3 linked regions of the Macaca mulatta genome follow. The protein of the gene in region 3 interacts with the protein of the main gene of each other region in a pairwise test. Links are inferred from orthologs where the notes say so. Each region holds a gene or a part of one and is shown on either strand. Other genes may lie near its edges. The genes, in order: SEC22A, AGR3 and ERLIN1.

Evidence for each region.
Region 1: the proteins of ERLIN1 (region 3) and SEC22A interact in binary tests that used the Homo sapiens proteins (3 or more experiments, as listed by UniProt). The two-hybrid records come from large-scale screens. The link is inferred for Macaca mulatta from reciprocal best matches to the Homo sapiens genes ERLIN1 and SEC22A.
Region 2: the proteins of ERLIN1 (region 3) and AGR3 interact in binary tests that used the Homo sapiens proteins (3 or more experiments, as listed by UniProt). The two-hybrid records come from large-scale screens. The link is inferred for Macaca mulatta from reciprocal best matches to the Homo sapiens genes ERLIN1 and AGR3.

What each region holds. Positions count from the first base shown.
Region 1 is NC_133407.1:160,563,922-160,568,236, reverse strand, and holds the start of SEC22A (vesicle-trafficking protein SEC22a), read left to right. Parts: upstream 1-1,451; 5' UTR 1,452-1,580; intron 1,581-4,176; 5' UTR 4,177-4,274; intron 4,275-4,315. UniProt on the Homo sapiens protein: May be involved in vesicle transport between the ER and the Golgi complex.
Region 2 is NC_133408.1:111,392,531-111,396,700, forward strand, and holds the start of AGR3 (anterior gradient protein 3), read left to right. Parts: upstream 1-1,272; 5' UTR 1,273-1,316; intron 1,317-2,501; 5' UTR 2,502-2,533; intron 2,534-3,963; exon of another isoform or gene 3,964-3,966; 5' UTR 3,967-3,993; coding exon 3,994-4,099; intron 4,100-4,170. UniProt on the Homo sapiens protein: Required for calcium-mediated regulation of ciliary beat frequency and mucociliary clearance in the airway. Might be involved in the regulation of intracellular calcium in tracheal epithelial cells.
Region 3 is NC_133414.1:112,220,886-112,224,534, reverse strand, and holds part of ERLIN1 (erlin-1), read left to right. Parts: intron 1-290; coding exon 291-416; intron 417-2,069; coding exon 2,070-2,143; intron 2,144-3,649. UniProt on the Homo sapiens protein: Component of the ERLIN1/ERLIN2 complex which mediates the endoplasmic reticulum-associated degradation (ERAD) of inositol 1,4,5-trisphosphate receptors (IP3Rs).

The sequences.
Region 1 (4,315 bases), on a different chromosome or scaffold from region 3:
ACTTTAGACCTACATATCCAAATCTACTTGACATCTCTATTTATAGACATTTCAAATTTAACATATTCCAAGCCATTTGCTCCTCCTCCTGTGTTCTGTGAATCAGTAAATGGCTTCTTAATCCATCTAGTTACTTAAGGAGTCATCCTTAATATTCCTCTTTCTTGACCCTTCCCGGCAAACCAATCTGTTATTAAGTCCCTTGGATACCATCTCTAATTTATACATATCTTGAAATTATCTACCTCTTTCTGTCTCTAACTCCCATTATACTAGTTCAAGCCATCATTTCTGGCTTTGCCTGATGCAACTGCCTCCAAATGGCCTTCCAGCAGCCTTTCTTGCCCTCTTCCGAACTATTCTCCACAAACAGCCTGAGTGATTCTTAAATATGCAAATAGGATCCTACTTAATAGTCTTTATTAGTTGCCCATTGACCTTGGGCTGAGATGAGACAAGGGCCAGACCATGCTGGCTCTTATTGGCCACATTACAGATTTCAGGCTGTATTTTGGAAGTTTCTCCTTGCTCCCTACACTCCATCCACACTGACTTCCTTTTACTTCCTAGAGCACAAGAAGTTCTTTCATGCCCCAACAACCTCACACATAATAGTTCCTTGACGGGGAACATTCTCTAAGGTTCTTTAATATGCCTGCAGCTTAAAAGGCACTTATTCAGAAGTCTCTTTCCTGACAGTCCAAAATTAATTCATCATTGCACCCACTAATTTTCCCTCCCAGTACTGATCACAATTTATAATTCTGTAACTATTTATGCTTTCATATCTTTTGCTCCAATTACGTCTTAAATTCCATCAAGTGTTATGTCCACTCCTGTAACCCCGCGTTTAACACGGTGCTTGGCACATGGTAAACAGCCAGTAAATGCCTGTTTAATAACGCATGACCGATGCGAAAGCTGGAAGGGGTCAAGGGGTCGGCATCTGGCACTTCTCTGCCATAGTTTGTTTCCTTCTTGTGTGTGGGTATAGACGGGGCCAGGTCCTCTCCTTGCTCACCCACAGGGGGCTTTTCTCCCTGTCCCCTTTATAAGTGTCTGCTGTAGGGGCCGCGTGTGAAAGACAAAATGCCTGCAGATACAGGGCGGCGAGCGGAGGGGATTGGCCCTATTTCTAAAGTCAACGTAGTTCTGTCATCAGAGGACTGTACTTTTCTGGCGCAGGTGCGAGAGACGCTGCCAATCTCTCCTGGAGCGGGTGGGACTAAGGCGGGTCCTGGGATCGGGCGGGTTGTTGTGTCCTTCCTGCAGAATCCGATTGGCCTGGGCGAGCCGAGGGAACGGGGGCGTGGTTTGATTCCGCGGGCGCGAGCCACGTTGGACGCGGCGCAGCCCCGCCGAAAGGCCCCTCCCAGGCCCCACAATGCACTGCGGGGTGCGTCACTCGGAGCGGCGGGTCCCGTCTCGACAGGTACTACCCGGCCCCTCCCAGTCCTCTTCTTCCCTTCTTAGGGGTCGTTCGAACCCCTGCCGGCCTCTCCCCTCCCTCTCCCTGCCTCCCGCGACAGCCTCGGTCTTCGCCCTCGGGACTGAAGACCTACCCGACGGGCAGGAGCCAAGTCCGTGCCTTTGGGGTGGGAGCCGGGGCCGCGGAGCTCTGGAGGGACGGGCAAGCAGGGACCCCGTCCACTTCGACTTGAGGTTTCTCTGGGGCCACGCGGGCGGCCGTTGCGCCTCGTCTGAGCCGCCTGGGGTATTGGGCAGCCAGGGAAGGAGTGTCTAAAGGGGAGGGACAGTCGCACTTGGCTGTCAGTAGGTTGGTAGGGATTCCCTGGCGCCCAGTTGTCAGAAACACGGTGATCTACCTGTGTAGGTGGCCCGCGGGAGCTTGAGGTGGTATTTCCTATTTCTGTTAGGCAGAATGGGACTTGAACCAGTGTCTTACTTTACGTCTTGCGGGGATGGAGTGAGCACTGAACCCAGATATTTGCCCGTGTTGGCTCACGGAAACCTCTTGAGACCCTGCCTCAAGAGTCACTTTGGGAACGATGTGGCAGAAGGGAGACCTGAGCAATTGGCTCAACAAGTGGAGGAGGCTTCCGAAAGAAAAGGACAAGCCCCAGCTGTCCTGAATCTCTCTGCCAGTGAAGACAGCTTAAGATAATTTTTCTCCTGCTGCTTAGTTTCCTGGGTCATCCACCTGGGGCAGGGGGCTAGCTTGAGAACCAGTCCCTCCTGGGCCTATTCAGCCAAGGCAAAGCCTAGCCCAGAGCAAAAATGTCAGCCACCAGACTGGAGATGTTGGGAACTTCAGTCAGGGGAACAGCCACTTTTCAAACTCTGAATCACTTTTCATGTTATTGATATTTGCTTACATGCTAAGATCGGAAGGAATCAGGCGGTGCCTTAAACGGTACCTACAATTTCTGGCATATTAAGGTTCCTTCAGTATTTGATTCTGACACCTGTGACCGTATCCTAAAGTAATGGGACATTCGGGTATTTCCTATGTTGAAAACCATCACATCTGTTTAGTGCCTTTTTGTGTGTGTGTGCGTGCAACTGGTTAAAATCGAAGTATATCTTATGTTGGTCTATGAAAGAGGCCCAGGTATCACAGGGGTGCCTGTGACCTTCCTTGAGTGTCTCACAGAGTTGTTAGAGTTGGGTCTGAGTTTAAATCCCTACTTTGTCACGTACTAGTTTAGGGATTAAAAAAATTCCTTAAGCTTTCTGGGCTTGAATTTCCTCAAAGGTAAAATGGAACTAATAATACCTACTTCACAGGTTTTTGGAAGGCTTAAATGAGGTAATGTGTATAAAGTGCGTGGTCCATGGAGAGTAATCAATAAATAATATAGCAAATATTTAATATAGTGCTTTTAGTATGTTACAAGGCAGTGTTTCAGGCGCTTTACATGATCCTATGAGATAGATACTATTGGCATCTTTAAAATAAGCCTATGAGATAGATACTGTTAGTAGCCATAATGTATAGATGTAGAAAGGCAAAGCTTGCCCAAATTTACATGTCTGCTACATGGTGGAGCCAGGATTAGAACCCAGGCAGCAAGTGAATAGGAGTTTCTATATCCCTGGTTTCTTATCTCTTGTTGGTTTTGGTAGACTGATGAAGCATAGTAGTGTGTAGATACTAGAAACTTAGACTGAAGTACCAGTTCTGCTATATACTAGCAGTGTGACGTTGAGAAAGTAAGCCTCAGTTTCCTCATCTGTAAATTGGCAGTTCTACCTACCCAACTGTGAACTATGTGGCACTATACAAGTGTTGGAATTGACACATTTGAGCATGTATTGGGGGCCCTGTCCTAGATGTGGGTAAAATCTGTTGTGAAGTCTGAGGTCTTATACATACTGTGCAGTGTAAGCACCCATAATAGGAATGTCACACACTGCTAGTGAGGTAGAGGGCATAGGCAAAATGACAGAAATTCCATCCTCTTTATCACCCAATCTATCCCCCACCCTCCCTGTGTATCACAAGTAGTATAGCTTTCTGTCCAAATTAACTACCACCCTTTCCCATTCCCACAGATCTCAGCTAGCACTTGTAATAAAATAATATGTACCATATTGGTACTGTCACATATGCAAGATAATTTGATAAGCAAATGAATATTAAAGTTCTCCCAAAATTTTCACACACATACATATTTGAATGAAACAAGTTCTTTTAATTTAAATTAGGAGAAAAACTTAATATCTCAAAACTGATTTCACAGATATTATTACTAAAAAATAAAGGACAAGAAAAGTAAGTCAATTCAAAGACCAATATTAGGTAAATAGTACAGATGGATGAAGATAATTCTGAAAGTGGTACTTGGATGACTGAAGACTGGGAAATTACGAACTAAAACAAATATGAGTGCTTTTGCCCCCAGTATAAAATGTTTTTATCTTAAAAGTGGCATTTGTGAAAGCATTTGGTTAGAACGTATATACAAAATCCACTTATATGTTGGGCTTTATTTATTACCTTTTGAGAGATACCTTCCTGAGACATTGAGCCCATAGTCATTACCCACACAAGGTTCTGAAGAAGAGGGGTGTCTTGTTATCTTGGGTCTGAGAACTTGCTAACCATTCATTACCATAGTAGTTTGGCATTGTGGGAATTTATTTTCCTCAGACTTTACGTAAAAGTTTACCCAGATTTACCTAGATTCTAACTTGTGCTTTTTCCTCCAACAGTTGCTGATGGGGAGAGGAAAAAATAGCCACTGTTCCGGTTCCCTATGAGTTAACTGCTGCTGTCCAAAGGCAGGTGTAATATTTTCTGTGTATTAAAGGTGAGGAGAAATGGCCCAGTGCCCTAAACATTTATCTATGA
Region 2 (4,170 bases), on a different chromosome or scaffold from region 3:
GAAAGGAATTTATAAACAATACCCTGGATTACGCTTCAATAAACATTTTCTGTAAACATTTACTAAAGATAGTAAACATTTTCGGTTTTGCAGATCATACAGTCCCTGTCACAAGCACAGCTGACCCTTAAACAACATAGGTTTGAATCGTGTGGGTTCACATAGAGGAGAATTTTTTTTTAAATAAATACAGTCCTTCATATGAGCAAGTTCTGCATCCACAGCCAAAGTGGATCAAAAATACTGTGTTCACGGGATGCCAAACCTGCACATATGGAGGACCAACTTTTCGTATCTGTGGGTTACGCAGGGCCAGATATGGGACTTAGTGTGCACAGATTTTGGTATCCACTGTCCTGGACTGTACCGGACTTTGCTGTTGCAGTGCAAAAGTAGCCATAGACACTAGTAAGTAAATGCACATGGCTGCATGCCATCCGCCAAATCTCTCTCTATTTATGGACACTGAAAGTGAATTTCATATAACTTTCACATATCACAAAATATGATTATTTTGGTTTTTTTCCCCAACCGTTTAAAAATGTCAAAATCGTTCCTGTTTCCTGGGCTGTGCAAAAAAACAAATCTGATGACATCCTGCCCTACATTATTCTAACAGTAATTAAATAATTACTGTCAATTAATTAAATAGTATCTATTAGATAAATTTAAACTCATCTAATTGCTGTTTTCTATTTTGTGCACAGTAAAGGTTTTATAGAAAAATTGTAAAGAATAATCAAATGATGAAAATGTTCAATTTTAAAACAGAATTATTTCCTTCTCTCTCTCAAAAAAAAAAAAGGACTCAATCTCTTTAGCTGTTAATTATATTCCTGTAAACAGAGTAACCCTTAGGAATTTCTATTTGCTTTCTTTCTAATCTGCAAGCCTCACAGCACTCACATCAAGAACAATGGCATGCACACAGTTCTTAAATTCAGTCCGGTTTCCTTCTTCCTTTTTTTTGTGTGTGTGTGCTGAACTTCAGCCAAACATTAAATTACCTTGGGAAATAAAAAGTAAAAGAGAAAGAACCACAAAGATGGTATTTAACCTCATTTTATGAGGACATTCAATCTGAATTTAGAGAAAAAGAAAAGCGCTTTGTTAGTGTGAGAAGCATGAGAACTGGAAAGAAGCACAGAGTTTTTCAGACCAGCCTACTTTCTAAAGTTTGTTTTCCGGTAACTATGCTCTTGTTTCTATGCAGGTGAGGTTGTAGGTCAGGTGTGTGTGTGTGTCTATAAATCCACACCCATTTTTAACCAGAAACATCCAGAGTACATTTCCAACAAGAGCACTGGCCAAGTCAGGTAAGCAAGCAAAGTTTCCAGATTACTTAATCAGTGGTCAAGCTTTGCAATATTTAAATAATCACCTTTTGCTATATAAAAGTGAAGCTTTCAGTAAAGGCTGGGAAAGTGAAATGAATTTTTAATTTTCTTCTTTTACCGAACTGGATTTCCTTTGCTAGTTTCATAGTTTTATCTCTATTTATATTAATGGTATTAGAATAAATTGACATCAACCACAAAAACAACTCTTTAAAAATTATTCTACAAGTATTAATAGCTCTTCTTTATAGTCTTTTAAGTCTTGTTTTATTTTAAAATATAGGTGCTTATAATATCAGTTACTTATGTTAAATTACTTTTGAAAAATAAAATACTAATGTCAGAAAATGCTAATTGACCAATGTTTATACAACCTAATTTCTGGCATATGGTTATATGCCTCCCAAATGCATTTTAAGCTGCTATAGGCCTGTAACCATGCCATATTTATCTGTGTTCCCCCAAGTATCTTAACCTTGCAACTGATTCTAAAGGACCCTCAGCAATTTACAGTGTATGTTACCAAGGAAAGCATTATTTATTCAAAATCTATAATGTACAAGTTGTACTGCTTTGTCACAGAATATATTTAATACCTATTTTATAATTTATCAATGTAAAACCAGAAAACCAAGATTTTTATTTTTTAATTAGAAAGTATTTGACAATAATACATAAATATTTGAAATTTTAAGGAAAAAAATGTTCCCACCTAACTCTAAGCTTGGCAGCTTTAAAATAGCAAAAATGATGAAGTTATGCTTTTTCTTTTTTAAAATGCAGATTCCACCTGCTTGTCTCTGTACCTAACATAGAAAAATCTTTCTAAAGTGCCCTCCAGATTGACTTTTCTTAACTCTTCTTTATATCCAAGATCCCTGGAAGAATTTTAATGAAGTTTTGGACCCTATTCCCATGGAAAAGGAACAGGCAGATAAAATTTTGCATGCAATTTCCAGGGGTTTTGAGCCTTCTGTAGCTCATCCACAGGCCTTCTAGAAGCCTGCTGGATTCAGGTTAAGATCCTGTCCTAGATGGTTACTTCAGTTCCTCCACTGCAACTCCCAACCTGTCTAACTATGGCTGCCTTTGCTGGGTTGGGTTTCATGTTCCAGAGTCAAATGTCCCTGTCCTCTACTAAAATCCACCCTTTCTTTGTTTCAGTCTTTAAAGTACAAGATGACCGAGGCCTTAAGGTACAAGATGACATTCTGAAATGTTTTATGGCTTAATAAGTTATGGAAACTTAAACTGAAATCCTTATCAGGCACCATGATCATTATTTAACAGGGTTTTTATATGCCTGGAAAGAAAGGACGGAAGAGGACGGGAGGGGAAAGGAGGGGAGAGGAGGGGAAAGGAGGGGAGAGGAGGGGAGACGAAAGGAGGCCGGGAGCTGTGGCTCACCCCTGTAATCCCAGCACTTTGGGAGGCTGAAGCAGGTGGATTATTTGAGGTCAGGAGTTTGAGACCAGCCTGGCCAACATGCTGAAACCCCGTCTCTATTAAAAATAGAAAAATTAGCCAGGTGTGGTGGTACACACCTATAACCCCAGCTACTTGGGAGACCAAGGCAGGAGACTCGCTTGGCTAAGGAAATTTTACTATTTTGGTGACAAATTCAATACTAAATAATGTAAGTCAATAGGAAAGACATCTTAAAGGAACTTTAAATAAATGTGAAGGATATCTGTATATTTATTTTATATTTTGAGGTAAAGTTTCAAAACTGCATGCGCCAACCATTTTCAAATGAGTTTTATATGCTAATGCTGTAACTAAACATCTCACAAGTATTACAGACTTCCTGTAATATATTTATCAAGTGGTTTATGACCAGATCCAGATCAGGTCCAACTTTGGACTTTAGTTTTTATCTTAATGCGCAAAGTATAAAAGACTCACATTGAGTTAAGAATTGGTTTGAATTCTAGCTAACCAGGAGAGAATGTAATCATGGCACGTCTACGCTTCTCTATACATATGTCTAATGTATAGTAATATGACAGTATTTTATTTTTATAAAGAGCTGTATTATAAACTGAAGGGCAAAATTCTGATTAATTGTTGAAAGGATGAGAAAGGTAAGAAACTATAAAGGAACTGAAGGACAAGAATCCTCCATATTCTATTTTTCCTCTGATTTCTATTTTAAGCAATATTTGTTCATGTATAATCTTATCTTGGTATAGAGTCAAAATGTTTTGACCTACTAGATACAGGAGAATCAAAAGGCAAAGAATATTTCTGCATGCTAAAAGTCACTTTATAGTTTACAAGACATTAAAAAACATAATCTTATTTGAGTTTCATCTTGGTGGTGTGAACACTACAGGGCGATTCAGAAGCAGGCTTTGTGTGCCCTGAACCAGCTGTCTTTTAATTATACAGCACTATGCCCAGGATGCTCAGAACGTGACTTCTCACCAACTGAGCATGTATTGAGTTGATTAAGTATTTTAAAAATAAAATGTGAATGAAAGTTCTATGTGGTTGGTTATACCATGTCAAATCAAAAAAGCAGAACAGTCTGTCGTCACAGTATTGGTCCAACTCTTAGCAAATATCTTTTAATAATAGCTTGAAGCAACTCACTAGATTCTGAGAATTCCTTTCTGTCATCTAGCTTCTTCTGAGAGATTCTCTAGAAGACACGATGCTACACTCAGCTTTGGCTCTCTGCCTCTTACTCGTCGCAGTTTCTTCCAACCTTGCCATTGCAATAAAGAAGGAAAAGAGGCCTCCTCAGACACTCTCAAGAGGTGCTGTAATCTCATTTTATTTTCTAAACTCAGTCATTTGGATTGCTTTTTAAAATATCTCATGGTCTAAT
Region 3 (3,649 bases):
CCTTATTACCTCCAAACTAATGTATGCTTTTTAGTATGAACTTTAAAGTTAGCCCCTGTTTGATGGGCTAACCAGCAGGTGTTTGGTATTAGTATTGCAAATACAAGGGTATTTGGAAAATTGAGCACAAGCAACACATCAAGATTTGTTAGTTGTGGTTTTTGGTTTCACTATTTTGTTGGCACTTTTCCTCATGTGTAGTATATCACCCTGACTTTGACCCTGGCTGAATTTGAAGGTACCTGAGTCATTGTTGGGTAAAACAAACATGGGTTGTACCTCTCCTTCAGTGTTTGATATCGTGAAGAACTATACTGCAGATTATGACAAGACTTTAATCTTCAATAAAATCCACCATGAGCTGAACCAGTTCTGCAGTGCCCACACACTTCAGGAAGTTTACATTGAATTGTTTGGTAAGTGTCTTAATTCTTTTAAATATGTAAATAGCCAACTGGAAATCTAGTTCAACTTATTGAGATATTGGTAAACCTTAGTGCTATTTAAGCATTTGTTCTGAATTTATCATAGAGCAATTGTCTTTAAAATATTTTTTATCTTAAGTTTAAAAATTTTTGTATAATTTGGTAGAGATTGGAAAAACTACTCACAGACTATATTCTGTTTTTACTGTAATAACTTACTGAAAATAGCTTTGTTACTATTTTAATAGATAATTTGAAAAATTTAGAAACCTGTGTCTTGAGGCTCCCATTTCTGATGATTTGGTAGGAGACTGACACGACTCAGGATATAGTTGTGGTCACAGCTAAGATTTATTACAGCCAAAGGGTACAAAGCAAAATCAGCGAGAGGAAAAGGCACATCAGCAAAGTGCAGAGGAAAGCAGGTGCAGGCTTCCAAGAGTCAAACATGTGCCTAATTCCCACAGCAACAAGCTATGACAACACATGTCAAATGTTGTCTACTAGGGAAGCTCATTAGAGACTCATTGCCTAGGGTTTTCACTGGGGGCTGGTTATGTAGGCACCCTCTGCCTACCACATAACAAAATTCCAGACTCCTAGAAGGAATGCAGGTGTTTGGCATAAACCACATTGTATAAACAGTTCACAGCAAGTCAGTTGTATTAGCTCTGGGGATGGTGGGACCCTTCCACAAATCCAAGTTCCTAGGTTCCAAACAAGGACCAGTTTGCAAAAGGCCTTCCTAAGGATCGCAGTATCAGCCCTGCTTTCTTAACTCACTTCTGTACAACTTAGCTTTTCATTTATGATAGTGGAAATTCTGACCAGGCAATGAGTTGTTGCTGTTGGTAGCTCACTTTTCCCTCCTGAAATTTTTAGTGAATTTCTAAGATGAAGGAATAAGCAAGAGTAATCAATTTAAAATCTATCAATTGAGTCCTCTTTGGTGATTGTCAACCACTGCAGTGGCATGGGAGAAAACTGATGGGTCCTGCTTTGTCTCACCAGCAATCATTTAAATAGCTGAAGTACCATTGAGGTGAAGAGAAAGTGCATGGCTACAAGCCCAAGTGTTCCTGCTGTGTGTACTTCAAATACTTTTCTATGAGCTTTTCTCTCTGTCTCTCTCTTTCTCTCTCTCTTTAAATCCAAAATAACAGTAAGGCTGAGATCCATGGAAATGAAGTTTAGTTATATGGGAATTCGAGTAAAGATTTACTGAAGGTAGAAATTTGCTTTTCTTTGAGAATCAGGATACATATTGAGTAAGAGCCCTGAATTAAGATACTAGAGATCCAGATTCTCCATTTATTAGATCAACATATTTTACCCAGTAGTTGTTTATCCAGTAAATAAGTCTAGTAAGTTACCCAGTAAATAAGCTTATCCATAGTTAAGTAGCACATTTAGTGGGTGAACTTATTGGATAAACAGACTATCTGCTTGTCATCTTCCTTAATTTATTAAATAATTCCTCACAATTTTTTTCCCCACACAAAAGAGAAGAAAAGGCAGTTTAAGCTCTGTAAAAGAATAGTACTGTGGAAACTTTAGGTCTAATAGTGATTAGTTTTGTTTCGTGAATACAGTGTAAAAAAAATTGAGTATCATGAGATCTGTTGTTCTTGGCTTAAAAAACAGATCAAATAGATGAAAACCTGAAGCAAGCTCTGCAGAAAGACTTAAACCTCATGGCCCCAGGTCTCACCATACAGGTAAGTTCTTTTCCTAGGGAAGTTCTCTGGGGATTTTGAGAGTTTTGAGTTTGTTCCTCCTTTCATTGGATTGTTTATTCAGCAATTATTTGGGATGCTGTGGTGATTTATAGAATACCTTTCTCAATTTGACTTCAGATCTCTGCCAAAATAAAATACTCTCGTAGCTTATTATGGGTGACATTTGTGAACTCCTAGAGGGAACTGATAAGCTGAGGCTCTTACAAGGAAGTCAAATTTATATTTCTGCCATGTATGAAGCACTAAGATACAGTAATGGTTATAAATCAGTGTAAGCATAATCCCTGCCCTCAGTAAGATTATGGAAAGGGAGTTCAAGTGTAAGATTTGAACAATTCTGGACAGAATAGTTATCACAAAGTATTAATTGACAGATAAATCTATTGAATGATTATTGCTGTAAGAGTAAGAGAACATTGGAAGACAGTGTGTCTAGGAGAGGGCTATGATTGAGTTGAGATTTTAAGTAGGTTTGGAAAAATTAATTGGATTTAAATGGGGGAAGAATGAGAAAGGTATTTCAAGTGGGAGGGAGAGCCCTAGTAAAAGCAAGGTAGCAGGTGAATTTAGTGGTAGTGGTGATGGTGACATTGGGAAATAGAATGGTGAGAAGTTTTACCCCTGCTTTTTTTTGAGTCACTGTGTTTTCAGATTGTGGGTTTTAAATCAACTTTAGTGAGTCATGAACAGAATTTTAAATAAAATGAAATAGAATAAGAAAAGAAATGGCATGTAGTAAGTTTAAATATTCTGTGAAACTTGTGTTTCACAGTCTGGGAGGGTAGGTGTTTATATTGGGTGTCAGTGCAAAATGTGTTTCTCACTGTGTCCACAGTCAATAACATTCGAAAGCCACTGCTCTGAATCTAGATAACCTAAGAAGTGGTATTGAGGCTTCTCTAGTGTCCTTTTACAGGGGCTCTAGGAGACCAGTTGATTGTTGATTGTTGTGATGAACATTACTGCAACCAAAGTTTATCACATGTCTCTCAATTCTTTACACTCAGTGCCACTGCTACTGAGAGTGTGCACTCACTGTGATTGTATGTGTTTGTGCTTCCTCATAAACCAGACTCGAAAGATAGGTGGGGTTTTTCTCATGGCCTCATTCATGCAATGTCATTATCTCAGACAGGCGCCTGAAGGTGAGCCACCAGAGTTAAGGGGTAGTTTGAAATACCCAGAGGTAACTTTGGAAAGTCCTCTGAGTTGTTCAAGTCAGTTGTAACTGGAGTAGCTTTTTGATTTTAAAGATAGTGAATGTGAAGTTCAGCTCTTCTTAGATTCTGCCCAGGGTGTTACTCAGAGATCTAGCTTATTCAACAGCTGTTTAGAATTCCTTGCCTTATGTTAGCCATTTTTCTGTTCCCAGTTTTTTGCTATTAAACAATAGTGTAATGAACATTCATGACACATGTTCCTGTATGTACAAATTATCTTTCAAACTGACTGTACGAATCTACATTCTTAACAGCAATATGTGCA